Linked DNA regions of Tamandua tetradactyla. The protein of the gene in region 4 binds, or shares a complex with, the protein of the main gene of each other region. Links are inferred from orthologs where the notes say so. Each region holds a gene or a part of one and is shown on either strand. Other genes may lie near its edges.

Region 1 (7,939 bases), about 5.1 Mb from region 4:
TTGCAGATGCTTAAAACCCTTCATCACTAATGCTCTTAAAGAAAAGCTGCTGGGAATACAAAGAAAGGCACAGAAATTTACCCCATACCCTACTGCCAATGCTTACATACTGCTTATAAAGCACAAATTCTGCCCACACCAGGCCCAGCAAGAACATCACACTTGTCTGTTTCTTGCTAAACCAGCCTGAGGTCCAGGAACCCAATAGGATAAAAAACATACCACACAAGGTTGTGCTTATCACTTCCTCTTTACAGATTTCAGGACTCTGCTCCAAATCATCACAAGGAACCACAACTATCCCTCACTTTCTACTTGGCTAATAATAGTTTGTGGTGCTTTCAAGGATAGCACCTTTTAAACCAGTGCAAACAGCCTCCTCTCCACGGAGCTGCAGTTTCCCCTGAAACCTTAGTGGAAGGGTTAACCTGACTGAGTGCCAACCAAAAGGGGAGGGGCAGGAGATCCTCAGGCCCCGGCTCATTGGTGCATTGTTCCCAACCTCAAGGAGAAGGGGGAGTGCAGCAGGCTCCGCCCAGCGCCTGTGTGCTCCGGAAACCCAGCGCTCAGGCAAGGGGAACCACACCCCCCACGCCCCTTCTGATTGGACAAGGCCAAGGTCAGCCCTTGCCAGATGGGGCTGGAAACCCCAAAGGGACCAGGGAACTTGGTGAGCCCAGCTCCTCCTTAACCCCTTTATGCCCAAAGCAGCCTAAAAAAAAAAAAAATTAATTTAGGAGGAAGGAAGGAGGAAAGGGCAAAAAAAACAAGGAGAGGGGAAAAAAGAAGCTAAGGAAAACTGAAGGTCTATTTTTTTAAAGGATGAAAGTTTAGAGAAGGAAGGTAAGGGAAATGGGAAAAAGGGAAAGTATAAAATGGGGGAGGGGAGGAAAGGAAGGAGAGAGAAAGAAGAAAAGTGCAAAAAACCTTTCCCTGTTATCTTCCTTCCTCCTAGCTTCCTATTCTCTCCCTCCAATGTATTCTCAACAAATAAGCCCACTTTTCTGTTCTGCAGGCTTGTAAATAAAATCTCTTCCTCTTCAGTCACAGCCATTGTCCCAAGTACCCAAAACTGTCCCTGCCAAGAGTCCTGGTTCTCCAAAGCTCTTCCTCATCCCCTATTATTTAAATACTATGGCCTCTCTTTCTCACAGAGGCACGCGCACACATGTGCACCATATTCTGACTTCTCTTATCATGGGCTCTTCACCCTGCTTCCTCCCAACGTGTAAAAACAGGCCTCCGTCCACAGAGCAGGCTTTTGCCACCCCCAAACTCACAATCCTGCCTTGGGCATGATACCAGGGGAAACACCAGCAGGGACATGCCCAGGCCTCAGCGCGTGGGGAGAGGGAGACAGGTGGGAGGTGAGGGCAAAGACACTTACTGGCATTACTATCAGCCAGGCTGTTGAGGCTACTAGAAATGTCCCTTCGCCGGAAAAGACAGACAACCTTTGCCTCCACATTTCCATTTGCAGTCTAAAGGGGGGAAAAACGGCAATGAAGACTGTTCATTGGAAAGTGGAAACGCACAAAGATGAGACTAACAACAGTTACTACGTTTCTAAGTGATCACGTTTCTAAGTGATCTTAAGGAGAAAGGCCCAAGAGATTACGAATAAAGACACTTTCATTCAAGGACAGACTTCCAAATCCCTTTCCTTAGCCTTCAAAAGATAGAACAGTAAAGTTTCCACTAGGCACTGTAGAAGTCTTGCGCACTAAATGAATGAATGGATGGATGAATGTGAATGAGTACTTAGGATAGAGACCTCTCTATCCACCTGAAGTTAGAGACCTCCGAAGTAAGAGACTATTACCTGTACGAAGGAAAGGGGGATGACTCTGCTCCACTCACCTTGTTGAGCTCCTCAATCCGTCTAACAAGGTAAGGATTGCTGGAGGAGTTCTCAAAATAGACGTAATCTGTAGAGGTAGACGGGTAGAGTAGGGAAGATCAGAGGAGATCAGAGAGCCAAGCGGCAGGATGGGAGAAAGAAAAAGTCGGCCTGAGCGGACCAAAAGGAGACAGGGGGTTCAGGTGTTGAGAACTCAGAGGTGGAAGTGGAGAGTCTAAGAGGAACTAGGGACAGCCACCCACCCCCACCCCCCACCTCCGTTGCACCTAGTTCAAAGTCAGATCTTTCGCTCAAAAGTAAGCCTTAGGGGAAAGACAAGCAAGGGTTCCCCAACAGTCCCCACCTTCCCCAACAGTCCCCACCACTCAGCGACGAAGTTGCACACCAGTCTAGGGGAAGTGAACAATTGTTCACTCTAGCGCAGCCTCCGAACCGAAGCGCACAATAACGCCGAGGGTGGGGGGGAGACCTCCCTCCTTTCCTGGGTTTCCCCCGTGGAAGGGAAAGCCGTCAGCCAGGCCTTTCGCGCCTCCTGACCGCCCTGTCAGCTCCTTGGGAGCCAATTTCCCAAGCCCGAGTCCCCGGGCTGGGTGAGATTTCCGCCCTGCCCCTCGCCCCCGCCCCGAGGCGCCGTCGGGGCTGCCCGCAGCCTCTCCGCGAGTCTCCGCGCCTGCCCGCGCCGCCGTCCCGCACCCTCGCCCCAGATGCTCCCGGTTCCGGTTCCGGTCCGCGCTCCGGTCCATGCTGCCCCAGACGCGGCTCCCCGCGCCGCCAGGTGCCGAGCCCCTTGGATCCCGAGCCCCGCACCCTCCGCGCCGGGTACTCACCCCCCACCCGGTACATGTTGGCCGCCATGGCCGTTCCCGCCGCCGCCTCCGGCCGCACAAAGGGGTCCGGGAGGCTCGCGGGGACAGGGCTCGGCTCGAGGCAAAGCCCCGAGCGCGGGTCTGGCGCTTCGCTGGAGTCTCGGTCGGGTTCGCGCAGCCGGCGCCTCCGCCGCCTCAGCCGTCGCGGTTCATCCCGGCCCGCGCTGGCGATGTCGCCGTCGCCGCCGCTACCGCCTCACGCCCGGGACGCCGAGGCCGGCGCCGGACCACTCCGCTCGGCTTCTTCCGGAACGGGTTCGGCTCTTGCCGTACCGGAGCCTGGGTCGCGCTCACCCCCCGCCCCCCCCCGCCCTCGCTGACCCCCACTAGACGTTAGGCTCTGCCGGCCGTGGGGAAGGCTAGCCCTGCCCGCTTCGTGATTCGCCTCCTTCCGGAACACCTTCGGCCGAGCCGGAGAACAAGGCCCAGCGCTCGGCTCAGGTCGGAGAGTGAGACCCCACAGATCGGCTACTTCCGGAAAAGGTTCGGCTCCTTTCGGCCAATCGCGGTCCGGCGCTCGGTTATTTCCGTTGTAACTCGGCCCCTCCTTGAGGAGTTGGGCTTTTAACTCTCTCCGCGCCGGGCCCGGCAGCGCCCCCTCCGGCCCCGACAGCCTCGCTCAGCTCCGCGCTCCCTGGGGTTATTTGCCAAAGGCTTTGCCTCTTATTTGCATAAATGGTCTACGCTCCCTTACCCTTTCCGCTCTCTTCTTCGCCTCCATCCCCGCCTTCACAGGGCCCCGGAGGCGCCCAAGTCGCGCCCCACAAAAGGACCGGGAGGCGACTTTGCTTTTGGTTTATTGCCCCTCAGCAGACAGTAGCAGGCTGGGGCAGCCTGGCTCAGCCGGCGGGTCTCTACAGTGTGTGCGGGAGGGGTCGTTCGCCCCCTCCAGGGAAATGCGCGATCGGGAATGTCTCGAAGTCAAGGGAAGGGTCGGCCCCCGGTCCTGGGGGTTTCGGGTGAGGCGGGTAGACCGAAGGGCCGGTCGGTCCAGTCCGGCGGCTATCAGACGTCGAGGGAGGAGGCCGGGGACAGGGAAGGGGTTCGGGAGGGCGTGGCAGGCGCCGGCCCCGCGCCCCCCGCGCCCTGCACGCGCCACTGGAAGATGCTGGCGTCCTTGCCGCCCAGCGAGACGAGGTGCGAGTCGTCGTGCGTGAACCGGACGCTGGTCACGTGGCTGCCGTGGCCCCCGTACACGCGACTCGGCGACTGCGCGGGAGGGGGGCGGAGTTGCGGCGGCGGCGACGCCCCCCCGGGTCCCGCCGCCTCCCCCCCACCCCCGGCCTCCGCGGCCCCTGGCGGCCTCACCTTGGCGCGCGCGCAGGGGTACTGGAAGAGGTGCACTTTGCAGAAGTCGTCGGCCACGGCCACCACGCGCTCGTTGTGGGAGCGGCACAGGGAGTTGATGTCGGTCCCGTCCGAGCCGTCGGGCCACACGCCTAGCACAGCGTCCGGCCTCAGCCCGGCCCCCTCCCCTCCGCCGCCCACGCCAGGCGCAGAGCGCCGAGCTCTACCGTTTCCGGCCGCCGTGGCCACCCACCGACCGCGTTCCAGGCGATCCTGCCGGGTCTCCAGGGCCAGAGAGGCCTCCTGGGTCGGCTCTGCCGGTGTCTTGAAATCCACCCACCCGGGACACAACATTCCAAGCTCAAGGCGGGCTAGGCTTGGTCCCCCCACCCTTGTTCCCGTTCCACCCCTAACCCGCGCGCCTGCTCACCGTAAACGTGGAAGCCAAGCACGCAGGTGTAGGTGGCCCACTCGCGATCTCGGCTCTCATAGCGGTTCCGCAGCAGCTTGCAGCCTCCAGCCACGTCCCCTGGAGAGAGGGAACCCACCATCCCAGCTCTCTCCCTGCTCTCAGCGCAGAAGCCAAGTCAGGAAGATGCCCGGGGAAGGGCAGGTTGGAAAGACAAACCCGCCTCTGCGTGCTTCCTGAGTTTCTGCTGAAGTTCTAACAGCTTCAGTCCCTCCACACCTGCCCTAATAAATCTTTCCAAAAGAATCTTTTCTGTGTGCATTTTCCTTCAAGTCCTTGTGAAGGAAGACCTGGTATTAAACTGGGAGGTGGAGGGGCGGAGGGAGATAAGGGGGAGGGGGGATGTCCCAAATCACATGAATTTCTCCTGTTTGTATAACTAACATCTATCTCCACCTCCCTTTTTAACAAACTCATCTGCAACTCCCCACATATTCTCTTTCGTCCTCCCTAGCCAGAAAGGGTCCCCCACAAATAACACCCACCCCAATTACCCTCTCCCCATATCCTCCCCTGCTGCTACTCACAGTAAAGAATCTCATAGTCTCCAGAATTAGACATGATGAAGTTCCCATCCTTGGACCAGTCAAGGTGAGTGATGAAGCTCGAGTGGCCCTGGGAGTAAAAGGCAAGAAGTTAAAAATGTAGCCACCACGTCCCCATCCCCAGAACCCCTTTAAGCATTAGACGCTCGCGAGTTCACCTGCTGTGGTGGTGCCCCACCTCCAACCCAGCTTCCTCACCACACAACGGCCAAAGCGGCTGGACTTGGCACCATCACTGGAAACGCTGTAGATGTAGATCATGTTGTCATGGGAACCGATGGCCAAGTACATCCCGTCTGCAAAGACAGTCGTTCAGCGAGGAAGGGGCCAGATATCGGTATGGGTCTGGGGCGGGGGGGGGGGGGGGGGGGGGGGGGGGGGGGGGGGGTGCGGCTCTCACCTGGGCTGTACCGAACCACTGAGAGCTGCTCATTGCCATCAGTGATGTCAGACACAATCTCTCTGGTCTCCGTGTCCAAAACCAGCCACCTGGAAGGGAGGAAAAGGCAGGGGGAGGGAAGGGGATGGTCAGGAGACCCCCAGGAAGGCTGCCCTGGGTACGGCAGGGATTGGCCATTTGGAGATCCTCTGAGAAGCCCCCTCAAAGCCCATTCTGTAGGCACAAAGGTCGCCTCTGCATTCTTAGGCTGGGAGGTGAGAAGGGGCTAAGGGCAGATAAAATCTGAGAGGCTTCCAATAATACTGTCTCAGAAAGAAGTCAGGAACTACACACCAGGAACCTGACTACAGGGCTTTGTGGGTCTGGAACTGATCACTTCCCCTTTCCATTCCCGCTGTTTCGCTCTTCTGAGCTGCAACCTCCTCCAGTCCCAGGTTTGGAGGAGAGGGGGTGAGGGCAGTTAGCACAGGAGAGCCAGGGAAGCACAGGCTGCGGGAAGGACTGCAGCATGGAAGGGCGAAGTTGCCAGGCCACTCTCCACTACCCCCACCACCCGAAACCCTTACCATACATCCCTTCTCTCCCCTCCCGGGAATCCTGGCTCCCTCTCACCTCCCCGTGTTCAGTCCTACGGCCACGACTGCCCCACTGGGGTGGAAGTCAGCACAGAGACCAGTCTCCTGGGAGAGGGGAGAAGGAAAATTCATTCAAGAAGCTGCCCTTCTAGGCAGGTTATCTTTTTGATAACCTCCTCCTTCTCCCAAGAAGACAGGGGAGGAGATGGTAGCCTGGGGTGGAGGCAGGGCTGATATTCAAAATATTTAATGATCAGAACTTAGGTTTCCAACTGGGCCAGAGATTAACCCTTTAGTTGCCGGACAAAGGGAAGCACAATCAGAAAGGGCAATGCCTAGAGGGCACTGGAGGCAAAGGCTTTTATCAACCAATACAGAGGAATTCATATTTGAACAGGCATCCCAACCATACCAGTACCAACTGGCCACCTCCAAGGAGCAGAAGGAAAGGGGGTCGTGGGGGAAGCCACGCTGGACGCAAGAGCTGCGGTGTGTGACACGGGACCCAGGGGACCGGTGCTCTACCTTGAGATCGATGCTCCAGGCCAGTGCATGGGCCTCCCCATCCCACAGGCAGAGCTGCCGGTCATGGCCGCAGGTGAGGAAGCGGTTCTGGGAAGGATGCGTGCAGAGCCCCCAGAGCTCATCGGTGTGGCCCTGCAGGGCGGCATGGACTGTCTCCTCTGCCCCGCTCCAACAGGTCTTCCCTCCTCCCTCCTCTGGGCCCTCCCCTCCCCACCCCCCAACCTGAATGACAGGAGAGAAGCCCTGGGCCAGATCACCCCTCAGCAATGCATTCTTCGTTGTTCCCACCAGCAGCTCCGAGCCAGGCCCCTCAGCAATGGCCCGCACGGCCCCAAAATCTTCAGGAATCTGCAGAGGTGGCAGCAGAAAGTCAGGCGCCTGGGCTGGCCACCCCTCTCCCCGCTCCCTGGCTCGACCCCGGGCCAGCCCTCACCTCGGCCTCCTGGAGAGCCACCAACCCCGGCCCCCACTGCACCAGCCGGCGGTCCCGCCCGCCACCACTCAGCACCGTCCCGTCTCGCAGGAGACACAGAGCGAAGATGGAGCCCTCGTGCGCATGGGCCTGGGCCACAATCCCGTAGGTCTCTGTTGGCAAAGCCCAGGATGGGTCATGCTCTTGGGGTGCAGGGAAATGGGGAGCGGGAGGGGGGCGCTAGGCCATCACAACAGAAGGTAATAACTCCCCGCTATCCTGTGCCAACTAAATAACGCCTCTGATTCTCTGAACAGCCAACGTGGCTATTACTCTCCCCATTTTACAGACAGGGCAACCGAGGCTCTGACAAGTGAGGGAACTTCCTAAAGGCCAAGGCTCAACTGGGATTTGAACCCAAGAGCTGGCAGATGCTGAAGCCTCAATGCTTCTCCCCACCACCCTTCTAGACCAGTCCCTCCAGAGAGCCCCCCACCAGATCCCATGCACAACTATCAACTCTCAAGGGAAAAGGATGGGAAATCTTCTCTTCTCTGTTCCCACTGACCCCCTGGGCTACTGGCCTTCCCAGCTGCTCTCCCAACCACATACCTTTGGCCCCGCCCCTGCCCGGGGGCTTGGAATCTGAGAGGCTCCGCCCCCATGTGAGAATGTTGCCCTCTGAGTCCCCAGTGAGAATGTCACCATCAGGAAGGAACACAAAGCAAGGGATAAACTTGGGTTTCTTGTATTTCTGAGGGGGAGGGGGAGCAGAGAGCAGAGGTCAAAGGGAAGGGCAAAAGCTAAAAGTCACGGGACAGGTGGGGATTAGAGGACGCAGACCGACATGCCCATCTCCACTCTGTCCTCCCCCTCCACCTTTCACCACCCACACCTCACCCCAAAGACACCCTGTTTCCGGGTGAGGGTCCCGTTTCCAGAAACCCCTGTTCCACCACTCCAGTTCCAGAAGTGGACGTGAGATTTCCCGCTGGTGAC
Region 2 (7,169 bases), on a different chromosome or scaffold from region 4:
AGACAAAGAAAACAAGCACAATAAATAAGTATATCTGCAGGTGATATAAATGATATCAAAACAAGAACAAAGTACAGGGGATGGTCCTGAAATGGGTACATGTGGGGTAAAGCCAAGAGCCCAATGTGTCTGGAACAGAATGAACAAGAAGAGAGCAGCAACAGTGGGAGGTGAGAGAGGGACAGGGCACAGCCAGAAAATACACGGTCTCAAAGGCCAACATTTCTGTTGGAATCTTAAATTTCTAATTAAACTAATATGGTAAACATCATGACTTCACATCAATAACATAAGACAAATAGATCAAAATTACACTCTGACAGTTCCCCTCAACAAACTGATCTAAATCTGGGGCCATTCTGCTCACTTAGAGTTGGTCTGAATTTTTTAAATGCAAAGTCCCTGGAGGTACTCCCAGAAGTAAGACAATGTTTCAAGCCTTTTTAAGCCAAGAATGACTTAAGGCCTGACTTCCTGGGACCAACTCTCAGTTGTTATTTTTTGAGGGACCATAATAGATAGACAGCCCCAGAGATTTTACACTATGAATTCTCATAAGCCACACAAATAACTCTTAAAAGCGGTCTGGAGGAAACCAGATGACTAGAAATCTATGGTCCGTGTAGGTTATGACTGCTTTTGGGTTTCTCCATTATAAAAGCTCATTTACCACAGTCACGATGCTTCTGATGTTGAGATCAGAGTGTGAACACCTGTGATAAGAGCTGATCTCAGTGTAAAAGTTTTATTTTACTTTACATTACACCAAAACTCTATTTAGAATATTAGTTAGCCTAGTCCAGAATTTTACAAATTCCCTTCATTACAATATTGTTTTCCAGCTTCCTCTGTCTAAGCTAGAAGGGGAAAAAATTAATTCACAAAAAAAGGGAGAGAAAGACAACTTGTTTCTGTAAAAATAAAAAGGAACTTCCTGAGTTACAGAGTGACCTAATCTTTGAGAGGCTCTGAGCAATTTAAAGAAACTTGTATACATTTTATATATGTCCAAAAACAATATTTAATATTAACCAAAATGGGTACTTACAAAAAAGCAAAACAGTACTCGTAATCCTGTATCTGAATCCTCTAATCTGAAACCTCAACTTTCAAAAGGTGTGGGAATGAAAGTAAAATCAGCCTTGTGCCCTTTAGCCAATTTTCCTTCAATGGAAAAAAGTATTTTTTAATATTAATATAAAGAACGCTCAATATATACCTTATTGAGTTCTTCTATCCTTCTGATTAGGTATGGGTTGCTGGAGGAATTCTCAAAGTAGACATAATCTGTAATTAAAGGAAGAGTTTAATCTTTCCAATAGAAAGTTCACATTTGTCAATCTATGACTTCCCTTAGCAGACAATTCACATTCAACATGAGGCACCTAATTCTTCCACTGATAAAAGCAAACTTAGTAAAGAAACCCTAATACATTCCTTCATGTGCCCACTAATCACAGGCCCTCATTTTCCTGGAATTTTCATCTCAATTACAGTTTTTATCAAGTTTTCCTAGACTTTTGCCCTGCACATGTCATTTTTTTAAATAACAAAAAGACACCTCTCACACTCATCGCTGTCAGGGCTCACTGAATAAGAGTCTGAGTCCTTTAACTGCTTCCACATCTTTTCCCTCCAATGCCATCTGCCCTGGAATATGCGTCTCACATAAAACTGATGACCTAAGACAAATTCAGTCGTGAAAGGTTTAGCAGCCCAGCCTACATTTCAATCACCAACTTTTAAAAACATCAATCAGGTGAGCAGAGCAGGTAAGAGGAAGCACACTGACAAACTTTTCCACAGCTGAACCTGGGAAGGTGGAAAAGAAGTGGGGGAGGGAGTCACTTTCAGAGAGGCAGAGAGCTCTGGGTGTAACATCAGAATCCTTTCTACCCTACCCTATTTAATACAGATCCACTCAGGGTTTCGTTATTTAAATAAAATTTAAAAATCACTGCAAGCTTTCAACAGAAAGGATAAAAATCTCCAAGAGTGGCTTTTCCTCATTTAATAAGCTCCTTGGAAACTTCTCACAGTGGGTTAAGAGGCCGGGCTGCATTGTCGTTGTGTTTTCTTGGTGGCTTTATCCCACCTAGCTTCTGCAAAGTGGCCTCATTTAGCCAGGCCATTCCCACCACCCTCCGTCAGGAAGAGCGGCTAATGCAGAGAAGAGCAAGTCTCACACACAAACACGCCACTTATCTGAATTATTATTTTACCAGGAAAGAGGGAGGAGGGCGTCGTGAGTAGGGAGAAAGTTTGTTTGACCTTATTTCTCTCTTCTGCAGAAGGCTGAGAAGGAGGCAGACAGCAGAGCAAACGTCCAGGCAGAACTCAATTCCCCACCTCTGGCTGCGGTTCCCTGGCCCCACCAAGCCCCATTCTTGGGGGGCTAGACAAGAAATGAAAGGGGGAGTGAAGCAGGGAAGGTGCAGGGCCCTGCCCCTACGGCCAGGCCTGTCAGCTGTGCCTCTAGCTGGGTCCCCATAGCCGACCCCCCCCATTCCCACTGAAGGGGAAGAGTGGGGGGGGGTCCTCCATCCTCCACCCCCACAGCCTAGAAGCCACGCGAGGAAGAAGCCACCCTGTTAAGAGGCTTCATGGCCCCTACCCCCTTGAGGGTTTCATGGGGGTTGGGGGGGTGTTTCTGATCATTCATAGCCAAACAGAGGCCTGGCCCTAAAAATCTGGGAGGAGAGTGAGATACTGGAGGGGCAGGGCCGGTGCAGGCCACGGGAGGGGGGGAGAAGAGGTGGGTGGGGGTGGGGAGCCCCGGCCCCCTCTGCGGGCCCCGGCGCCCCCCCCGCCCCCCACGCCCTCAGCCCGGGCACCCAAGACTCCCGGCGATTAGGGTGAATTCGCCCCGACCCCCCCCCCCCCCGGAGCCCGTTCCCAGACCGGCCGGGTCGGGCCGAGCCTTCCTACCTCCGACCCGGTACATGTTGGCCGCCATGTCCGCCCGCCCGCCCGCGGAGCCCGAGCCGAGCCCCGCCCGCCGCCGCCGCTGCCTCTGCCTCAGCCTCGCTCGCCGCCGCTGCCTCGCCGCGGGGGGGAGGGGAGGGAGGGAGCGAGGGGAGGGGGAAATGAAGGGGAGGGGACGCCGAGGGGTGGGGGCAGGTGCCCGCCCCCAGCGCCGGGCGAGCGACGCCGCGTGGGCCGGGCCGGGGGAAGCCCGAGGAAGCCGGAGAGCGGCGGGGCCAGCAGGGAAGGGGGCCGGGGGGTGGGGCTTGGTGGAAGTGGGGGTCCTAGGATAAGGGCCCGGGCCGCCGCGAAGGCGCGGACTCGGAAATGTGGAACCCGAGCTGTTAGAGAACTGGGATGGGGGCAGGGGCTCCGTCTCTCCGAAGCGCCGGCCGTCCCACCCAGGGCGCCCACCACCTGCCGGCCCCGAGACAGGTCCCCCTTTCCTGCTTCTGGCCCTGGGGAGCCCCAGCCTGTGTATCTGAAAAAAAGTGTGACCTTCATGCTTGAGCTTCTGTCTCAGTGCAAACACTTGGATGCAAATAATTGCACGGAGGAGGGCGTCTTCCACGAGGTGGTGTGGAGGACCTGTAGGTCCGGGAGCATCCCAGGTGCTTCCAATAGAACAAGTCAGCGATTAAGGTGGGGATGAGGCTAAAGAAACTGACTTCCTTAGGAGGCCACCCTAATTGCATTACAGGTCTATTAGTATTCACCCCCGAACTAGGCTGAACCCAACCCATTCTCCCACACCTGGAGACCTGCCTTCAGGGAAGCCCTATATACAGTGTGCCCTTCTGGGAGAAGACCCTTAGGGAAAGGGGACTTCCTTGGTCCCTAGGCAAGCAGCCCTGTAATTCAGTGTCACCTTATTGTGTTGATGGAGAGTAACTGGTTATGTGTCTACAGCTTTCAAATGGTTACATTTCCCCATGCAGATTGTCTAGACAACCCCTGTTTTCACAGCCTTCGTACCCTTGCAGAAACAAAAAAAACCAGATCGAGTTGAATCTTAGCTGGCTATTCTCCAAACGGACACAACTTTCTTGAGAGAAGCCCATCCATTCCTAATAAGTCCCAGACATGGTTGTATAATAAACATGATGATTCCTTACTGTTGTGGGTTCTTTGGAGTTTCTGGTGAGATGTACAGCTGTGTATTGCTGACTCTGGCTCTGAGGTCTGTGCTTAGATGGGAGGTGTCCCTAGAAAAGAAAAGAAGTTTGTGTTTTGGTTGTCTGGCATTTGTGATGGTTCCTCATCACAAATTATTGAGGTGAACAAAATAATTTTCTGGAGAGCTCAGGCAAAGTTAAAATTAAAAAAAGAAAAAAAAAAAGCCTGAATTACATGGATTGTAATTCATGGATTGACTGATGACCTAAATTTCCTCATCTACAAAGACAGACACTAATTTCACTTCACAGAGTTTGAGGATTGGCTCTGATGATATGTGAAAATACTTTGTAAACTGTACTGCATAGAGAACTATGCAAGTAACAGGTGTCAGTTGCTTTTAACACCTGAAAGTTTCAGATTCCCAAGGATTTTATGCTATGTGTCAATTCTGAGTCTGTGTCAGCTCTTCTGACCCAGAGACAAATGCATATGTGCTCCGTGATTCATATTGCATATCTGCTGTTTATCATAATCATTTTACTGGAAACCCCACCAAAAACATATGATGACATATCAAACATCACTCACTCCATTAATGAACTGACACATAAATAGGCTGAATAATTTGCCTACAGTCACATAGTAAAATGGCAACAATACTGGGATTATAACTCAGTCCTTTCCTCTGGACTAGAATTCTCTGAACCCAGAAGCGTTTCTCTAAGTCAAAAGGCCACCTGAAAACCATAAACTGAGGGAGATGGAGAGGAATGGATCACAAGCCCAAACTGGCTTAAAGGTTTTTCCTTTTTTTTTTTTTTAATAAATGAGCAATTTCTCCCTCTTCAAAATGTTTCTGTATTTTTGTTACTTCCTTGTCTGCCTGTTTCATTTCCTCAGCTTTGTGCTCCTTACCAGGTGTTTGTGATGACTATATTAACCACAATAAATGTGTGATAGGTGCCAAAAATACTCCCTAATGCACACCCACACCCACCTCCTCTCCTTAGGAACAGCCTTATTCACAAAGACCCCAAGAAAGCCTCAGAGGCCTGGGATGGGGTGTAGGGAGCAGAGTGTAGGGGGTAAGGTGGCAGGGCCTGGAGCCCTTCTTTCCTCTGCATTTCATCAACTTAGCTTCTTCCACCTCCAGCTCCTGGCCCAGTGTCTTCTGTATAATATGTGCTCTTTAGTCAATGAATGATGGGACTCAGTTTAGAGAATCAGGTGCAGAGTTGAATGCAAAGACTTTGTGCACAGATTTTTTTTATACTTCTAGTGCCAAACAGAGAGGTATACACATAAGAGAGTTCATGAAATGTTTGTAGATTGAAAGAAACCCTCTAACTGGGCAAAGAAAGATAGAAAAGCCTGCACTTCCAAGAAAGCAAAGGCCTCTCTCCCTTCTTAGACCCCATAGTTTAGATTGCAAACTTGTCATTAATGACAGCCCCAACTTCCCTCCTGGCTTGGCTGTTTTGCTGTAAGACCTTGAGCAAATTACTTAACCCCTCTGAGCCTCAAGCTCTACAAAATATGACTAGTGGTTGAAACCTACCACAAAGAGTTGTGGTAAAAATTAAATGCATGAAGTGATTGGCATATGTCAAGACCTTCATACTTGTTAGTTTCTTTCTCTCTCTTCTACCCAGTCTCATCACCAAAATAGAGGTGTCTCTCAGACTATGCCAGAAATTCCCCAGGACAACCTCCCCCTTACACTGCCCCCACACACACACACACACATCATAGGTACAATTTCCTTTGTATGACTGTTGTGATTAAGGAGACATGTGTAAGAGAATGCCTGAAGTTACCAGGATGTTCCATGTGTCAATCTTCAGGTCCCACCATTCAGATGAAGAGAAGTGGTGGCTGCAGGAAAGTTATAAATGGAATGGAGAGTTGGCTTTGTTGCAATTTAGGAAAGGAGTTTTATACATGAAAAAAAAAAATGGCAACAAATAGCCAGCCTGGGAACTTTGTGAAATTGAACCCAGGAAAGGAGCCTGGGGGTCTAGAATATAATTAATCTGAAAGCAGAGGCCAGGTTTTGGATAAGAGTCTAAACCTTGTTTGTGTTTTCTATGATTTGTTCTCCACCACTACTCCCCACCTTTTTTTTTATTAACTTATTTTGTTGCCTACTAGAATTCCCTTGGAAAAGGCCTGCCTGTAGCTGCTATTCTGAGGATCTGGGTTTTGAAGGCAAAAGAATATATCCCAGGAAAAAGGTATGCATGCAATAGCAAGAATCAAAGCAAGGGGACCTTGAAGAAAAGGAAAACAGAGTCAGGAGTTTCACAGCTTCTCCTGTTGTGGATTATCTCCTTCCATCAATCCCCCATGCTAAAAACATGAAACCCAGGACAAATCCCAGCCAGTCCTAGTTTGGGGGAGTGTGTGGTTTCTGATTCCAGGGTTCCCTCATGCCATCAAAAGGAAATTAGCTTAGCCATTTGATTGCACCCATGTGGAGTTTCCCTCTCTAGCAACAGCAACACCTCCAGGTAGTGGAAAAGGGACTAGAAGCCACAACAGGGCACAAGGACAAGCTCTGAGGTGGTTCATCTAATTGACCTAGTGTTTTCCTTTTTTAGTCTATGGAGTACTGTGGATTTGAATGAGAGATGGCTAAGCACTAGAGGGTGTGGGATCAGGAAAAAGAATTCTAAGGGACTATGGGAAGTGTTGATAGGCTATAACAAAGAATGAGTGTTGGGGTGACTCAGGCTGCAGCACAGAGTGGACTGGAGAGGAGAGTGAGGGCAGGCTGAGAGGTCAGTTGGGAGTTGGTCAGAAGGTAGGTTGGCCTGGTCTATGGAGGAGACAGTGAAAGGTGAAAGAAGTAGATGTGTTTGAGCAAGATTTAGGAGGGGGCTAAGCTCTGATCGCTTTCGGGAGGTGTGGAGTGAAAGGTGGTGCCATGGCTTATGGGCAACTTGGGTGGAGAGGGTGTAATTCAGTGAGTAAAGAATACAAGAGGAGGAGCATGTTGCCAGGAGTGTAGTTAAAGGATTCAGTGTTGGCCTGATGTGTTTGAAGTGCCTTTGGAAAGATCCAGGTAGAATTCTTCAAGAAAGAGT
Region 3 (7,231 bases), on a different chromosome or scaffold from region 4:
AAAAATTACTGCTGCTGATCAGCAATGCAGTTACCTGGGCGCTGTACATTATCTGCTAAATCTGGCAACAGTCCGCAGCAGGTCTCTGAAGTGGGAAATCAAGCTCTTTCCTGAGAGTGAGCCCCTTCCCAAGCTGAGCCCTGCGCTGGCTGCCCCTCCAGCCTCGGCAGCAGCCAGAAGCCCCAAGCAAGCACCTCGAAGCACCTGACATCCCTGGGCTATGGGCCCGAGCAGCCAGGGTGCCCCCTCCTGTGGTACAGCGATGCACTGCCCCCAGCCCCCAGGGCCTCCAGAGCCTGCAGGGACCCCGGGAGGGGGACGCTGGGCTCTAGAGTGGAAAGGTGGGCATCATCCACCACCTAGAATGGGCATGGCTCAAGAAGCCCCCAGGAAGGCAGTGAGGACCTGAGATCATCAGGCCACGGCCCATGTGAGGGGGCAGAGAGGAAGCCCAAGTCCTCCCAAGCACCCTTCAACGGCTGCAGGCCCAACCTCCTCGGCCAGGACTGAGTGCTCAGCCACTGGCCATGGGAGACCCAAGCCAGCTCCTGGTACCCAAGGCGCTGTCCAGGCCCGTTGAGCTTAGGCCCCAGAAAGAGGACCAAGGAGGGACTGGGAAACAGAGCGGTGAACTGGAGCCCCAAGAAGCAGCTTCGCTCTGAGCTGAGGCACAGCTGGGCCCATCCATCTCTCAGTGGGTCCAAGCCAGGATCCCTGCACGAGGGAGGGCAAAGGCCAGCAGTGAGGAGGACACTCTCACCACCGACTCAGGAACACAATGGACATCCCCGTCCGCATGGTGGGGAAACCGAAGCCCAGGAAGGTATTGCCGTGGGCAGGCTGACCTGAAAGCCCCAGGGACCAGCCTGCACACTACAGGGGACACAAGCCAGGTGGCCACCTGCCGTCCCGGAGCCGTGTCTGTCCCTGACTGGACTCTGTCCAATAACCCAGGCCAGGAGAGCACCACTGGGTGCCTCCCCAGACTGGCAGCTGGCTCCAGGGGGCTTTCTGTACCTTGGGGGTGCCAGGCAGCCCCAGGACAGCCCAGGAAGGGCCCATCAGGGAGCACTAGCTGAGTGAGGGGCCATGGAACAGTTGGGACCTGAGCAGGTAGGGCTGTGGGAGGTCTGGGGAAGAGGCTCCACAGTGCTAGTGACCAGGACCCCGAGCAGCCTGGAGCTGGCAGACAGGACAATCCCGTGCCGCCCCCACCTCGCTGCCCCCTCCCCAGCCCCTCCCCAGAGCCGGGGGCTCCTTCAGCAAGCATAGACTGCAGGCCCCAGGTACGGGGTAGGCCCCACAAGAGAAGGGTAGTGGGGAGCAAGTAGGAGCTGCACACAAGGAACCCTGAGAGCCAGGGTGACCCGCAGCAGGACCGGGGCAGGAGACAGGCAGGGGCTGCTGGGGGGGCAGGCACGTGTACATGGGGATCTGCCAGGCCAGAGGCCATGGCTGGAGGTACACGAGTGGTCATCAGGCCCTAGGGGCCCATCAGAGCCGTGCGGATGGAGAGGGCTTCTCCTCTGCTGGTGCCTGGGGACCCTGTAGCTGGGCCCCCTCCTTGCAGGAGCTATAGAGGTCAGGGCAGCCCAGGGATTCCTCATAGCCTTGGACCACCCCAACACCCCAGAGCAGGGTGGGGGGCCACGGATAGTGCCAGACTAGTGGCACCCCATGCCAGAGGCACACAGGAGTGGGGGGATTTGGGGGGCAAGGAGCAGGGGTGCCTGCTTCCCACAATGATGCTCCCCAACCCAAGGCCAGTATGCTGGGGGCCCCAAAGGAGGGGATCCAAGAGGGGAGGCACACGCAGGTCCCAGAGACTGCTGCAGGAAGGGATGCATGGCGGAGGTGGAGGCAGGAGTCAAAGGGCCCCCAGAACCATAGAAGACCAGCATGGCGCCTCCAGAGTCCCCCACCCCCATCCCAAACTAGGGCAAGGACCCAGGCCTGAGGCTTCTCGGGCCAGGAGAAAGGAGGGATGGCCAGGAGGCCTCCTGGCCAAGCAGCCCTGATGCGCTGGGGTCAGCGGGAGGCACGGGAAAGTTAGGGGCCTAGGAGAGTGACCTGGAGGCAACACGCTGCCTGGGACCCCGCCTGGGTGGCCCCCTGCACACACCCCCAGGCGCCCTGGGTCTAGGCTGTGCAGGACACTCAGAGGCATGGGGTCTCCACTGCTAGAGGGAAGTCCGCTCCACAGGGCCCAGATGGGGACCCCTACCCCGAAACCCCTCTTCCTCTCCAGGGCCACTGCACACCACGTGCTCTTTGCTCGGGAGCACCAGCTCCCCCCCAGGCCCAGGCCCCCCCTGCCTCTCCAGGGCTCTGCCAACAGGCCACCCACACAGCCCCCAACAGGTGGGCAGAGCCCCCGCCTCCCTGGTGCCCAGCTCGGTCGCTGCCACCCACCAGGCCATCTCGGGCTGTGGTGGACACAGCCGGGTAGAGGGAGCCAAGCTGCTCATAAAGGAAGAGCGAGGGGGAAGGGGGCAAAGAGAGGGGTGTAGAAGAGAGGTGGGGGTTGCTGGGGGGGGGGGAGGCGCAGGATGGGCCGGCAGAGACGGCCTGCAGTGGGGGAGGGGTGCAGGGGGGAGGGAAGGGGACAGAAGTGGGCCGATGGGGGGTGGAGGGCAGTTCGGATGGGGCGAAGGATGAGGAGGGCCCGGTGGGGGAAGGGCTGGAGACGACCAGGGCGGAGAAGAGATGGGGAGACGGGCCAGGGGTGCAGGAGTCGGGCAGAGGTCCCGGGTCTTGGGGTGCGCGGAACCGAGGGTCGCGAGGCTGGGGGGTGCAGGGGCTGAGTGGGGGTGGGCGCGGGCCCGGCGCGCGGCCTGCCCGCGGCGCTGGCGGATAAAGGCCGGCGGGCGGCGGGCCTTACCTCCGACCCTGTACATGTTGGCGGCCATGTCCGGGCCGGCGGCGGCGGCGGGGCCGGCCGGGAGGGCGCGCTCGGGCGCGGCGCGGGCCTGGAAAATGGAGGCGCGGTGCGGGGGCGGGCGGGGGCCGCCGGCGGGCGGTTTAAAGGGGCCGCGCTGCTCCGCCGCCGCCGCCGCCGCCGCCGCCGAGGCCGCCGAGGCCGCGCAGGGACGGGAGGGCCGCGGCGCGGGCGGGAGAGGAAGAGGAGGAGCGGCGGGCGGGGAGGGGCCTCGGGCGCCGCCGCCCACCGCGCGGGCCGTTACCCGACCCCGCGCCCGCCGCCGCCCCGCGCGGCCCAGCCCCGCGCCCCCGCCTCGCGCCGCGGCCCTCCTCCCCGCACGCCCGAGCGGCCCCCGGCCGGGCCCCCACCTCCCCGCGCCCGCCCGCGTGCCCCGGCGGGACCCCGCGCGCGCCCCTCCCCCGCCGCCCGCCCCCGGGTCCCGGCGACGGCGCCGCTCCTGCCTCCCAGGCCGGCTCCCCCCACCCCCGGCTTCCCTGCTTTCTCTCCGGACAGCCCCCAGCCCTACTTAAGGCCCGCACCTCTCTGAGGCAGGGGGTGCTCCTCATCTGTCGCCCCTCCTCTGGGGCCTTGCCTCTTAGGGGGAAAGGGAGAGAGAGTGGGCGCACCGCCACTCAGCAAGCACCGAGGGCTCCGTGTTTCAGGGCACCTGCCTCCCTGGGGTCCGCGGGCCTCCCTGATGCAGGGATGGGGGTGCTGCGGGGGGGATGGGGGGTGGCGTGCGGGGCTGAGGGAGCAGGGAAGGCTGGGAACCACAGGCCCCTCTGTCTAAGGTCTGGAGCCAGCGCCCTCCTTTGCCTTCCCAGCCCTGGTCAGAGTCTGTAACTCTGCCCGTGCTTCTTTGGTTTAACCAGAGTTGAGTCCAGTGGCCCAGATTCCTTCAGCAAGGGGATGTGTGTGTGTGTGTGTGTGTGTGTGTGTGTGTGTCTGTCTGTCTGTCTGTCTGTAGGGGGCATGGATGGCTGAGAGGGACAGATGAGAGCAGGGCTGAGTTACGGTGAGAGCCAGGACAGAGAATGGGGGAGGGGAGAAGGATGTGTTGTGGGGAGAAGGTGTCCGGAATGGCTCCCCAGTGGCTGGTTTGAGTGACAGGGTGGGATGAGGGCTCTGGGGAGACTGGAAGGGTCCCCAAGGGAGAGTGGGCCCTGCACATGTGCTGAGGGGAAATGCCTGCACTGAGCAGGGGCTTCACCGCAGCCTTGGCTGTTTGGGGCTCAGTGGGGGCCACGGTGGATGAAACAGGGTGAGGAGGAGAGGAAGTGGGGCTTGAGGCTCCCATTCTCCCAGAAGCTTGGCTTAAAGGGCAGCAGCAGGGAGCTGGAACTTGCCTCGCATGTCAAAGGTCGGCCCTATGCTGGAAAAGGGGGGGGCGCACAGATAGACCCAGCCTCCTACCCAGGGGAAGACTGCAGGACCCCTGACCCCCTCCCCACAGGCCACGACCCCAACCCTTGTCAGGACTGGCAGAAAGCAGAGAGCCGACACAGCCCGGCTGTCAACGTGGGGACCTCTCCCAGAAACAGTAGCACAGAGCATTTTGTGGAGAAAAGAACTAGAGAGCAGACAGCTCGCAGCAAGCGAGACTCCAGGTTTACCCCGAGAAGTAAAGGGCACAGCCCTCCCAGAGGAGGGGCAGCCAGCAAGTCCTCAGAGCACAGCAAGCCCAGCAACTCTTCTCCACACAGCCTTTCCCGCTCCACACAAACGCAGAGGGGGGTTGGATATGGTCTCAGTTAGCCACAGCTGCTCTGACAAACAGCACCCAGTGGTGGCCTGAGCAAAGACTCATCGTCTGTGGGTTTGAAGGTCCAAATCCGGGTTTGCAGGCTGGGCCTCCCCAGAGCCTGGTATTCTGGGGCTAGCGCGCCACAGCCTCTGGGCTCCTTGGGTCTTGCCTCTGCCTCCATCCCACGGCAACGTCCTCTCATTTCTGCTGCCTTCTGGCCTCTGCCTGCTTCGGAATTTCCTCTCTTTAGAAAGTCACTACACGTGTAGATTAAGAGTAACCATGATGCAATCTGGCCACATCTTAACTAAAAATATCTTCAAAGGGTCCAACTTACAAATGTATTCACACCTAGACAGGCAAGTTTTACGATTAAGAAAGTGTCTTCTGTCAGGATACAGATTCCATCTAACACAGATACAATACCCTGTGCTTAAACTAGCTCAGAGGCAAGTAAAAGAGATCTCAGATAAGAAGTAAAGAAGGAGAAGTCATCCACTTCACAGCAGAGGAAGTAGACATTCAGGACTGGGCTGCTTATGCTGGAACAGGAATAAGACGTAAAGAAACAGCAGCCTCCAGTCCCATAATCCAAACAGCAACAGAAAGAAAGGAAGAAACTGAAGGAAGGAAGTGAGCGGCCATGAAGAACCCACTAGAGAAGAAAATACAACTGCAGAAACAGAAGAAAACTCCAGGGGAGCACTCCAGGTTCTCAGAGTTCATAAGAACACAAATTCAGTAGCGGGGACTCAAAGACCCGATGGCAAAACAGCAGAAGGAGCACGAGATGCAAGAGCCAAACAACCAAACTGGGGGCCAAAATAACAGCAGTGCTCGAGTGCATTATGGGGCAAGGGGTAGGATGGCAAAGTATTAACCGAGGAAGGGTTTTACAGGAAGAGGAAAGCCGTGATTTCTTCATTCAACTATTACCTGCTAAGCACCTACTTCAGTCCACATACCCCTGGAGATGCTGGGCAGAGTAAGGGAGGGCTGGGGGCCTGCACCCTGGTGCGGGGAGGGGACGGGATAATGGATAACATGTATTGGCATGCCTGTGATGCTATGTGCTTTGAAGGAAGAACTGGGGCAAGAGGACGAGGGAAGGAGAGAAGGGCAGTGTTCATGCTGAGGCCAGGGGGCCAGGGAACTAGGCAATGGGGCCGAGGGACAGCAGTTTTGCCTCGGGTGGGCTCTGAGTGACCTGAGCTGACCCCTAATGGATTCGATTTGCTAGTACTTTGTTGAGAATTTTTGCACCTATGTTCATTAAGAAGAATGGCCTGTAGTTTTCCCTTCTGATAGCATCTTTACCCGGTTTTGGTATTAAAATGGTATTCGCTTCATAAAATGAGTTACGTAGTGCTCCTTTTTCCTCAAGTTTTTGGAAAAGTTTGAGCAGGATTGGTGTTTGTTATTTTAGGAATGTTTGGTAAAATTCCCCTGTGAAGCCATCTGGCCCTGGGCTTTTCTTTGTAGGAAGATTTTTGATGATTGAATCTCTACTTGTGATTGGTTTGTTGAGATCTTCTATTTCTCCCTGAGTCAGTGTAGCTTGTTTGTGTGTTTCCAGGAATGTGTCCATTTCATCTAAGTTATCTAGTTTGTTGGCGTATAGTTGTTCATAGTGTCCTCTTATGATTTCTTTTATTTTTTCAGGGTCTCTGGTAATTCACCCCTTCTCATTTCTGATTTTGTTTATATGCATCCTCTCTCTTTTTTTCTTTGTCATTCTTGCTAGTGGGGCATCAATTTTACTGATTTTCTCAAAGAACCAACTTGTGGTTTTATTGATTCTTTATCTCTGCCTTAATCTTTGTTATTTCTCTTCTTCTATTTGCTTTGGAGTTAGTTTGCTGTTCTTTCTCAGGTACCTCCAGGTGAGCAGTTAAGTCCTCGATTTTTGCACTTTCTTGTTTTTTAATATGGGCATTTAGGGCAATAAATGCTTATATTCTCGTTTTCTTTCGTCTCCAGATAGATACTGTTTTCTCTAGCAATTTCTTCTGACCAACTGGTTGTTTAAGTGTGTTATTTAATCTCCATAAATTTCTGGATGTTCTTATTCTTTGGTGGTTATTGATATCCAACTTCATTCCATTGTGATTAGAGAAAAAGCTTTGAATAATTTCAGTGTTTTTACATTTATAAAGACCTGGTTTGTGCCCCAGCGTATGATTCCTGGAGAATGTTCCAGGAGCACTAGAGAAGAATGTATATCCTGGTGTTTTGGTGTGTAATGACCTATATATGTGTGTTAGGTCTAATTCATTTATCAAGTTGTTTAACTTCTATATTTCCTTGTTGATCTTCTGTCTGGTTGTTCTCTCTAAACAGGAGAGTGGTATATTGAAGTCTTCTACTATTATTGTTGAAACATCTGTCACTCCCTTCAGTTTTGCCAATGTCTGTCTTATATACTTTGGAGCTCCTTGATTGGGAGCATAAACATTTATGATTGTTATTTCTTCTTGGTGAATTGTCCCTTTTATTAATATTTAGGGTCCTTCTTTGTCTCTTATGATGTCTTTACATTTAAAGTCTATTTTGTCCGATATTATATT
Region 4 (7,710 bases):
GGGGAAAGGAAGCAGGAATACTTTCCACTCCCACCTCCCACGCTGAAGAGTCAAAGATGGATTCAGGGTAGTTGAGGACATTTTGGCACTAAGGCCTGTGGAGGAGAGGCTTTGGTGAACTGGCATTTCCACCCAGGGGCAGGACACTCCAGGGGCAGGACGCTCCAGGCCCAGGCTGGCAGGCAGTGCCCTCCAGCTGTGGAGGCAGCCAAGGCCCTGTGCTGCCCCCTGGCGGCACAGTGCGAAGGCATAGGCAGGGCTCTCCGTTCCTGGAACTCAAATCTGTCCCCTAAGAGTAGACAGACAAGGCTGAGGGTCTGAGGCCTGGGACCAGGCCCCACCCAGGGAGCAATGGGCAGCAGAGGCAAGGCCAAGTTTAGCCAGCCTCAGCCTCAACCCACCCCCCCACCCCTGCACTTCCTCTCAACCCCAGGTCTCCTCTTTCCCTGCTGTCAGGCTCCCCTAGGCTTAGAAGAACTGGACCCAGAAAGGCTCAGAGCTGAGAGAACAACTCCAAATCACTTTTTATTTATACAAAAAGGGCTTATTTAGCAAAAGACACATTGAGAAAAGTCGCTATAGCCCAGGAGTCAAGGTAGGGAGTCGACAGGCCTTCTTAAGGCCTGCTGTGGGGAGAAGGGGGGCAGGGACAACGTGGTTCTCAGTGCTGGGGAAGTGGGGGGGCCCCAGGAAGGGGAAAGCTCCCGCTGGATCAACCTGGTTAGCAGGTCATGGGTGGGCCTCACAAGTGACCTCACTGCTAACTAGTCCAGGGGCCCCAGCTAGTGCTGCTGACTGGAGTGGGAGCTGCCTCCTGCCTCCCAGAGGGCTCCCACCACGGGACACGGGACAGGAAGCCCAGGATGGGAAGTGCAACTCAGGGTGAAGGCCAGGAAGAAGCAGGTGCTCTGCGGTGGCCAGGAAAGGTCCAGACGCCGAGACGAGGTGCTTCTTGTTACGTGCGGGCGTTCCGCTCTGTCTCAGCCAGGCACTCTCTGACTAGGGCCCGGGCATGGATGATGCCTGGGGTGGGGGCGGGGAAGTAACACCAGGCCCCGGAGACGCTCCAATTGCACCCCCACCCTCCAGAGGAAGACTGGCTCCCCACCCTCTGCCCTTCAGTAAGAGGGATTGAAGTCTATAACGACAAGCTGGATGAGATTAGAGGTTTGGCCAATCCTCAAATTCACCCTGGTAAAATAGGAGTTCTCAGGTCCCTCCCTCGAAATGGACTTGATTTCAGTTCAATTCCATTCATTTCAGAATGCCTCTCTGGGTAATGAGATGGGTGCTGAGCTTGGATTGGGTGGCCTCGGTAGCCCTTCCTGTCCTAAGGAAGGAGGCTTGCCCCGTGTCCTCTCCTGGGCAGGGCAGGGTGGGCCCCGCCTCGCTTACCTCTCTTCAGGCGCTCCATGGCGCTCTTGCTGCCAGCATAGGTGGGTCGGATCTCTTTGCCCATCTCCTCTATGACCGACAGCAGATCCGTGTAGGTGCTCTGGGAGCCCTGGGCACCGGGGGGCTTCATCGCCTGAGCCAAAAGGGAACAAGGCAGTGAGATCCAACCAGGGTGGGCTTCCAGCCCCCCACCCCCAGGCCCACCCTCGGCCGCACTCACCTGCACGTAGCCCATGGAGGGCGGTCCAAAGTCGTTAAACAGTGGTCTGAAGGGGGCTGCGGCTCCCGGGACCGAGCCCGACGGCGACGGAACACTGCCGGCTGCAACACGCGCGAGTAAGAGGTCAGAGGTCAGCGGTCAGCGCGGGGCGGGGACGCCTCCTCCCAGCGTTTCAAGCTCCCGACCGGGCTCGCCCGAATCCCTCCAAGGGGACAACTTCATTCCAGGCCGCTCAACTTCAGGGACAAACCCCTCCCCCTGCGCTCCACCTACAAGCCCTTACGTGACCACGCCTACTTCACAGGCCGGGAAACTGAGGCTCGCGGGAAGGTAGGCGGCGGCGCCAGCATGGCAGAACGCAGGCCGTCTTGTCTTCGAGACCTCGACCGGCCGGGGAGGCGAGCAGGGGTGGTGCTGGGTCCTCACCTGTAGGGACCGGGGTGCCGGGCCCGGGGGTGCTGGAACCGGGGGTGCTGCTGGGGGCGGGGGCGATGGGCTTGTAGGACATCCCAAACTCCTGGGTGCTGGCGGACGCCGGCCGGCGGCTCCTCCGGGGTTGGCTGCCCGGCCGCTCGGCCGCGCTCTGATTGGCAAGTGGGCTGCACGCCCCGGGTAAATAGAGCTCGGGCCGGAAGGGCGGGCGGGCGCGACCGCTCCCTCACTCCCGATTGGCGCGCCAAGATGTCACTCGAGCCTCCTTATTGGCCGAGACCGGCCCCCACAGGTCGCAACCGCTGCCGATTGGCCGCCGCCTTCCGGACCTCGCACCTGTCTGCCTCGGATTGGGTAGTGAGCGGCGCCCTCCGCAACTGGCGAGTTCGCGGCCCGGGCCAGCGCGCTCTCAATCCGATTAGTCCCACGGCCCCAGGGGCGGGGCCTCGGGAACCGGGACCCGGGTCTGGGCCGCCGCGGTTCGCGTCGAGTGGCTCCTCCCGGGCGCGGGCGCTGTCCGCCCGCCTCTCCCGCGCCGCTTCGCACGTCAACCTCACGCCTCCGGGTCTCCGGCCGAGACTCGGTCCACCTGGGGCCGCTATCGCCGCCGCCGAGCGCGCCTCTCCTCTCCGGATGCCGAAGGACGCAGGGCTTTGACGTCCCGGCTCCTCCGCCCCACCCCATGCGCTTTTACGTCACCTTTCGCCGGTTGAACACCCGTTCCCCAATCTGCGCATGCGCTCGCTTGCTGCCGCCCTTTGTTTCCATGGCAACGAGTCCAGCACCAACGCCGCGACCCGCGGCTCTTCCTGGGATTGGCTCGTCCGTAGGTGGTCGGTGTAAGGACGACCCGTAGACCCCGCGACCCGCCCCCCAGCCCCCACGCCTCTGCCGCAGATAATGACAGCAGCAGTCACAGGTAACCCCTCCTTAATCACTTTCTGCGTGCCAGGCTCTGAACCAGAGGAGTGACTGACAGGACCGAGTGCAGTCACTGCCTGGTTCGAATCTCAGCACCTTCCCTACTAGCAGTTTCCCTTTGACCAAGTCGCTCATCTCCTGTGCCTGTCGGTGAAATGGGACGGGGGTGGGGGAGTCATGAAAACTACCTCTCGGAGTTATTGTGTGGGTTCAATGAATATTTGTATTGCTTTTACGATTTTATTCTTCTTGTTCCTTTATCCCTATCCCATTTAAGCGCCTCAAAACATTTTCATTACCTTACGCGACCCCACTCAAATCTCATCTATCACAAACCCCAAGTCTCAGACCCTCCCACCCCCCTTCCTGTTTTTCCCAGTCTCCTTCCACCCAAAACCTGTCTGGCCTGGTGTACATGTCACGCCCCTAGGTCTGTAGGTTTTCCCTCATCTCCGGGACATGTGTTCATGCACTCATCCAACAAACATTTCCTGAATCCCTTCCCTATCCGGACCTTGCACTGGACTCTGAGGATACAGAGACGAACCAGCTGCAGACTCTGTCCTCAAGGAGCTCCTAGTCTTAAGAGGAGCAGATAGGAAAGCAGAGGCACAGACAACACTAAGGGAGTGGCCACGGTGAAGCCCAGACCTTGGAGCATTGGAGCCAAGGGGAAGGGGCCTACCTGGTGACCTCACAGAAGCTTTCCCAGAGGATGTGGCATTTGAGCTAAGACCCCAAGGTGGGTGGTGGGAGCAGAGAAGGAGGGGGGTGCTCCAGGTAGAGGGCCTGGCACATGGAAAGGATTGAGAGTTTGGAAGCACAAGTGATTGGACAAGTCATTTCTTTTTGCTGTGGGGATAATTGGGAAGCAAGGGCAGGGCTGTAATGATAGAGGAATCTCAGGTGGCAAACATGTAAGGAAGTTGGAATTTAATCTGTACCCAATGTTTTTCTAACTTCAGTCCTTTGTGAAATATTTTTTAAATGCCGGTTTATTGAAATATAGTCACACAACATAGATACCATCCTAAGTGTACAGTCACTGGTTAACACTGCATTCATCCGCATAAGCAAATTTAGAACATTTTCTTTACTACAGAAAATAAAAAGAAAACCCTAATCCTCCCATACTCTGTATCATCCCATATTATTGACCCATAGTGTTGGTGTAGTACATTTGTCAATGTTGATGAAAGAGTATTAAAATATTACAGTTAACTATAGTCCGAAGTTTGCAGCAGGTGCATTTTCCCCATATAACCGTCTATTATTCATTGTGTTGAACATCTGTTCTAGTCTTTGTGAAACATTTTCAAGTCTCATCATCTACTTAATATTTCCTTTGTATCAATTCACTTTTTAAAAAAATTTAAAAGGAAAAGGAATCATATCAGTTTAGTTATGAGCTCAGTGTACTTCATAGTTTTCTAATTACAATGCAGTTCTGACTTAACTATCCGAAGTCAGATGAGACTTCACAGCCCAAGAGCACAATCTTCCCCAAGGTGGCAATTCAGACACCAGCCACATGTTCAGGGGTTCCAGGGACCCCTGCACTTGGGCCAACTGGCTACAAATTCAGGGGTTCTGACAACAGGTTCTACCTTTTGTTGGAAGGACTGACAGAACTCAGGAAAATGCTACAATTACAATTTTATTATAGTGGAAAAGATACAAATAAGAGACACATAGGATAAAGTCTGGGAGGTCGCCAGATGCCAAAGCGCTCACGTCCTCTCCCTGTGGAGTCAGGACACATCACTCGCCTTGCACAACAGAGTCTTGTCAGGCAGGGAAGCTCACTTGAGCTTCACTGGCCAGAGTTTTTTTCAGAGTTTCATTACTTAGGTTAAGTAAAATTAAATGGCCGCCTGCATTGGGTGTTGCCAGGAGGGGACCCTTTCCAAGAAAGGATTTTCAGAGATAAAACAATTGACCTGCAGGGGCTTTCCGAGAAAATGGAATGAGGAAAGGTATCTTGCAGGATTGCAGGTAAGCAACACCTGGTGATAAACCAGTTTCTGTCCAGTAGAGAGAATTTATCAGAATGTACAGGCATACCATACTAATCCATGACTATCTGCTCCCCACTTTTGTAAGACCCCCCCATATAAAATGCTAACAATGTCAGCCAATCAGAACGTCTCACTTGCTTCCACCTGTGCCCTATATAAGCTTCCCCTTTCCACTCCCTCCTTACACTTTTGGTTTGGTGCTGCCTGATTCGCTAATCCTTTGTTACCCAAATAAGGTTTAATAAGGTTTTCTAATTGCCTCTGTGTACTTTGACACTTTAAGGCATGATTGATGGAATCAAGGTTCAGGTGGGTGAATTTGGTCTCCAGCTGCCGCCCTCTAACCTGCAGAGGTCTGGCTCAAAGCCCAATCCTCTAATCACCTCGGTGACCCCCGTAATAAAGCCGCAGGTGCGCCTGGCCCCACCTTGAGTCATCTTGTTAATGTATGCTCGGAGGTGTAGGCTGGGGCCCAGCAGGAATAGCAAATGACAGTCCTATTAGGGGAAATCCCAAAGAGTTAGTGGGTATCTCCCAGGGACTAATTACAAAGACTAGCCAAGTTCTTCTGTAATTCATATTCAAACTAAGTATCTGACTATAGAAATAAAAAGTGTTGATCATGTATCACCCAAGAGCCTCCCCAGCCTGCCAGTGGCACAGAGGCTGTGCTCTGAAGGAGTTCTGCAGGGATAGGGGGAGGGGGCCACTGAGGGGCCAGTAGCTCTGCCTCTTCTCCCAAAGCCTAGGCTTTCCCGTTTTCTCCACTGCCGGTGTCTGGCAGGAGGGACATGCCAGGAGGTGACTGCAGGGCTGAACCTTGCCCTCAAGCAGTTTTCCAAATCCTTCTTCCTTGGGCCATAGCAGAAGGAGCACAGAGTTCCCTGAGGAGGTCAGAGATGACAATTTTGGTAGGGACACTCCTACCCTGGGGGGAAGATAGCACAGACCTCTGTGGCGTGGTCTTGGAGGAACTTTTCAGGGAGTCCCCTCTCCACTCAGACCCCAGGCTCCTAGCTCACCCTCTGCAATTTGGAGCCTTGCAGCATTATAGCCTCCAAACCAGACACTGAAAACAAGCCCCCAGGCTCAGTCCAGCCAGCAGATGAGTTTGTTGCCTTACCTTGTGACTATAAAACTCAACATTGTATTTCTGTACAGTTTTTTTGGTTTTATTATGTTTGAAAAATCTTGTAATAAAATGAGGAAAAATAAGTTGATGAAGCAGTGAGATACCATGATACCTTAAGAATGGTTAAAATCCATAAAACATAATACCAACTCTTGGTGAGTTTGCAGAGCCACAGGAACTCTCATTTGTTGCTGGTGGGAACGCAAAGTGGTGCAGCTACTCTGGAAGACAACTTGGCAGCTTCTTACAAAACTAAGCATAATCTTATCATATGATCCAGCAATTGTATGATTTGAAAGCTTATGTCCCCGTGATAATCTGCATGCAAAAGTTTATACCGGCTTTATTCATGATCACCAAAAACTGGAAGAACCAAGATTTCCTCCAATAGGTGAATAAATAAACTGTGTTGCATCCATTCAGTGAAATACTACTCAGTTTGGTGGTAATGGTAACACACCCTGTGAATGTGATTAACAGCACTGAAATATGTGATTTGAAAGGGGAGATGTTAAACTTCATATATGTGACAATGAAAATTAAAAAAAAAGAATCCATGGACTGACACTACCCGAACAGTGAACCGTATGTGAAAGCATGGACTACAGTGAATACTACAATTATAAAAATGTTCTAGCATCAGTTATAACAACTGCTCCACACCAATACAAGATGTTAACAGGGTGGTGTATAGGAATCCTATATATATATTTTTTTTTGCATAGGCAGGCACCAGGAATCAAACCTAGATTTCTGGGATGGCAGATGAAAATTCTGACACTGAGCCACTGTCACACCGTCCATAGGAATCCTGTATTTTATACACTATTGTTCTATAAATGCATAATTTCCCTAATAAAGGAAAAAAATACTACCAAACAATAAAAAGAAATGAGCTAATCAAGCCACACAAAGACAAGAATGAATCGTAAGTGCATATTGGTATTGAAGGAACCAATCTGAAAAAAAGGACATAGTGCATGGTTCCAATTATATGACATTCTGTAAAAGACAAAATCATAGAGATGGTAAACAGATTAGTGGTTGCTGGGGGTTTTGGGTGGGGGAAGGGTTGAATGGGTGAAGCAGAGGAGCCTCTTTAGGGCAGTAAAACTATTCTGTATGATAGATATTGCAATGGTGAATACAAGACAGTAAACATTTCTCAAAACCCATTGAACCTTACAGCATAGAGTGAAATTTAATCTATGTGAAATTTAAAAATCTGTTAGGAGATGGGGGATCCCAGAATGGAATGCAGAATGTGACAAAAGAATGGAATTGTATTACATGTACCATACACATGTAGGAAACCACACCCCAGTAGCAACAAGCACCTACAGCACCCAGATCTTGGTTTCTAAGACCATTCTCCAGTAGAAGGACCAGCGTTCTCTGGAGATATGGCTGATTCTTAGACTGGGGCAGGAAATAGACAAGATAGGCTTGGAGTATCTTATAATGGCAGAAAGTAAAAAAGTGCTCAAACAAAAGCAAAATGCACACCCAATGGGGGGGGGGCATGACAAGGGGCGATAGGAGCCAACTGCGAGATTGCCCCTGTGGCCAGAGCTGGAGCAATTTGGGAACAA

What was found.
Region 1: CDK2AP2 (region 4) and MTA2 share a complex: the UniProt entries of both Homo sapiens proteins name them as parts of the nucleosome remodeling and deacetylase (NuRD) repressor complex. The link is inferred for Tamandua tetradactyla from reciprocal best matches to the Homo sapiens genes CDK2AP2 and MTA2.
Region 2: CDK2AP2 (region 4) and MTA3 share a complex: the UniProt entries of both Homo sapiens proteins name them as parts of the nucleosome remodeling and deacetylase (NuRD) repressor complex. The link is inferred for Tamandua tetradactyla from reciprocal best matches to the Homo sapiens genes CDK2AP2 and MTA3.
Region 3: CDK2AP2 (region 4) and MTA1 share a complex: the UniProt entries of both Homo sapiens proteins name them as parts of the nucleosome remodeling and deacetylase (NuRD) repressor complex. The link is inferred for Tamandua tetradactyla from reciprocal best matches to the Homo sapiens genes CDK2AP2 and MTA1.

The regions. Positions count from the first base shown.
Region 1 is NC_135335.1:11,958,177-11,966,115, reverse strand, and holds the start of MTA2 (metastasis-associated protein MTA2), read right to left. Parts: upstream 3,010-7,939; 5' UTR 2,717-3,009; coding exon 2,689-2,716; intron 1,929-2,688; coding exon 1,861-1,928; exon of another isoform or gene 1,482-1,860; coding exon 1,388-1,481; intron 1-1,387. Other genes in the region: EML3 (echinoderm microtubule-associated protein-like 3), read right to left, coding at 3,524-3,936, 4,036-4,056, 4,445-4,543, 5,011-5,098, 5,227-5,324, 5,429-5,517, 6,041-6,108, 6,529-6,660 and 4 more. UniProt on the Homo sapiens protein: May function as a transcriptional coregulator. Acts as a component of the histone deacetylase NuRD complex which participates in the remodeling of chromatin.
Region 2 is NC_135343.1:14,118,455-14,125,623, reverse strand, and holds the start of MTA3 (metastasis-associated protein MTA3), read right to left. Parts: upstream 3,003-7,169; 5' UTR 2,957-3,002; coding exon 2,929-2,956; intron 2,396-2,928; exon of another isoform or gene 2,272-2,395; intron 2,242-2,271; exon of another isoform or gene 2,223-2,241; intron 1,288-2,222; coding exon 1,220-1,287; intron 1-1,219. UniProt on the Homo sapiens protein: Acts as a component of the histone deacetylase NuRD complex which participates in the remodeling of chromatin.
Region 3 is NC_135340.1:87,212,800-87,220,030, forward strand, and holds the start of MTA1 (metastasis-associated protein MTA1), read right to left. Parts: upstream 3,008-7,231; 5' UTR 2,910-3,007; coding exon 2,882-2,909; intron 1-2,881. UniProt on the Homo sapiens protein: Transcriptional coregulator which can act as both a transcriptional corepressor and coactivator. Acts as a component of the histone deacetylase NuRD complex which participates in the remodeling of chromatin.
Region 4 is NC_135335.1:6,904,342-6,912,051, reverse strand, and holds CDK2AP2 (cyclin-dependent kinase 2-associated protein 2), read right to left. Parts: upstream 2,727-7,710; 5' UTR 2,124-2,726; coding exon 2,042-2,123; intron 2,035-2,041; exon of another isoform or gene 1,899-2,034; intron 1,717-1,898; coding exon 1,616-1,716; intron 1,529-1,615; coding exon 1,396-1,528; intron 1,024-1,395; coding exon 956-1,023; 3' UTR 501-955; downstream 1-500. UniProt on the Homo sapiens protein: Acts as a component of the histone deacetylase NuRD complex which participates in the remodeling of chromatin.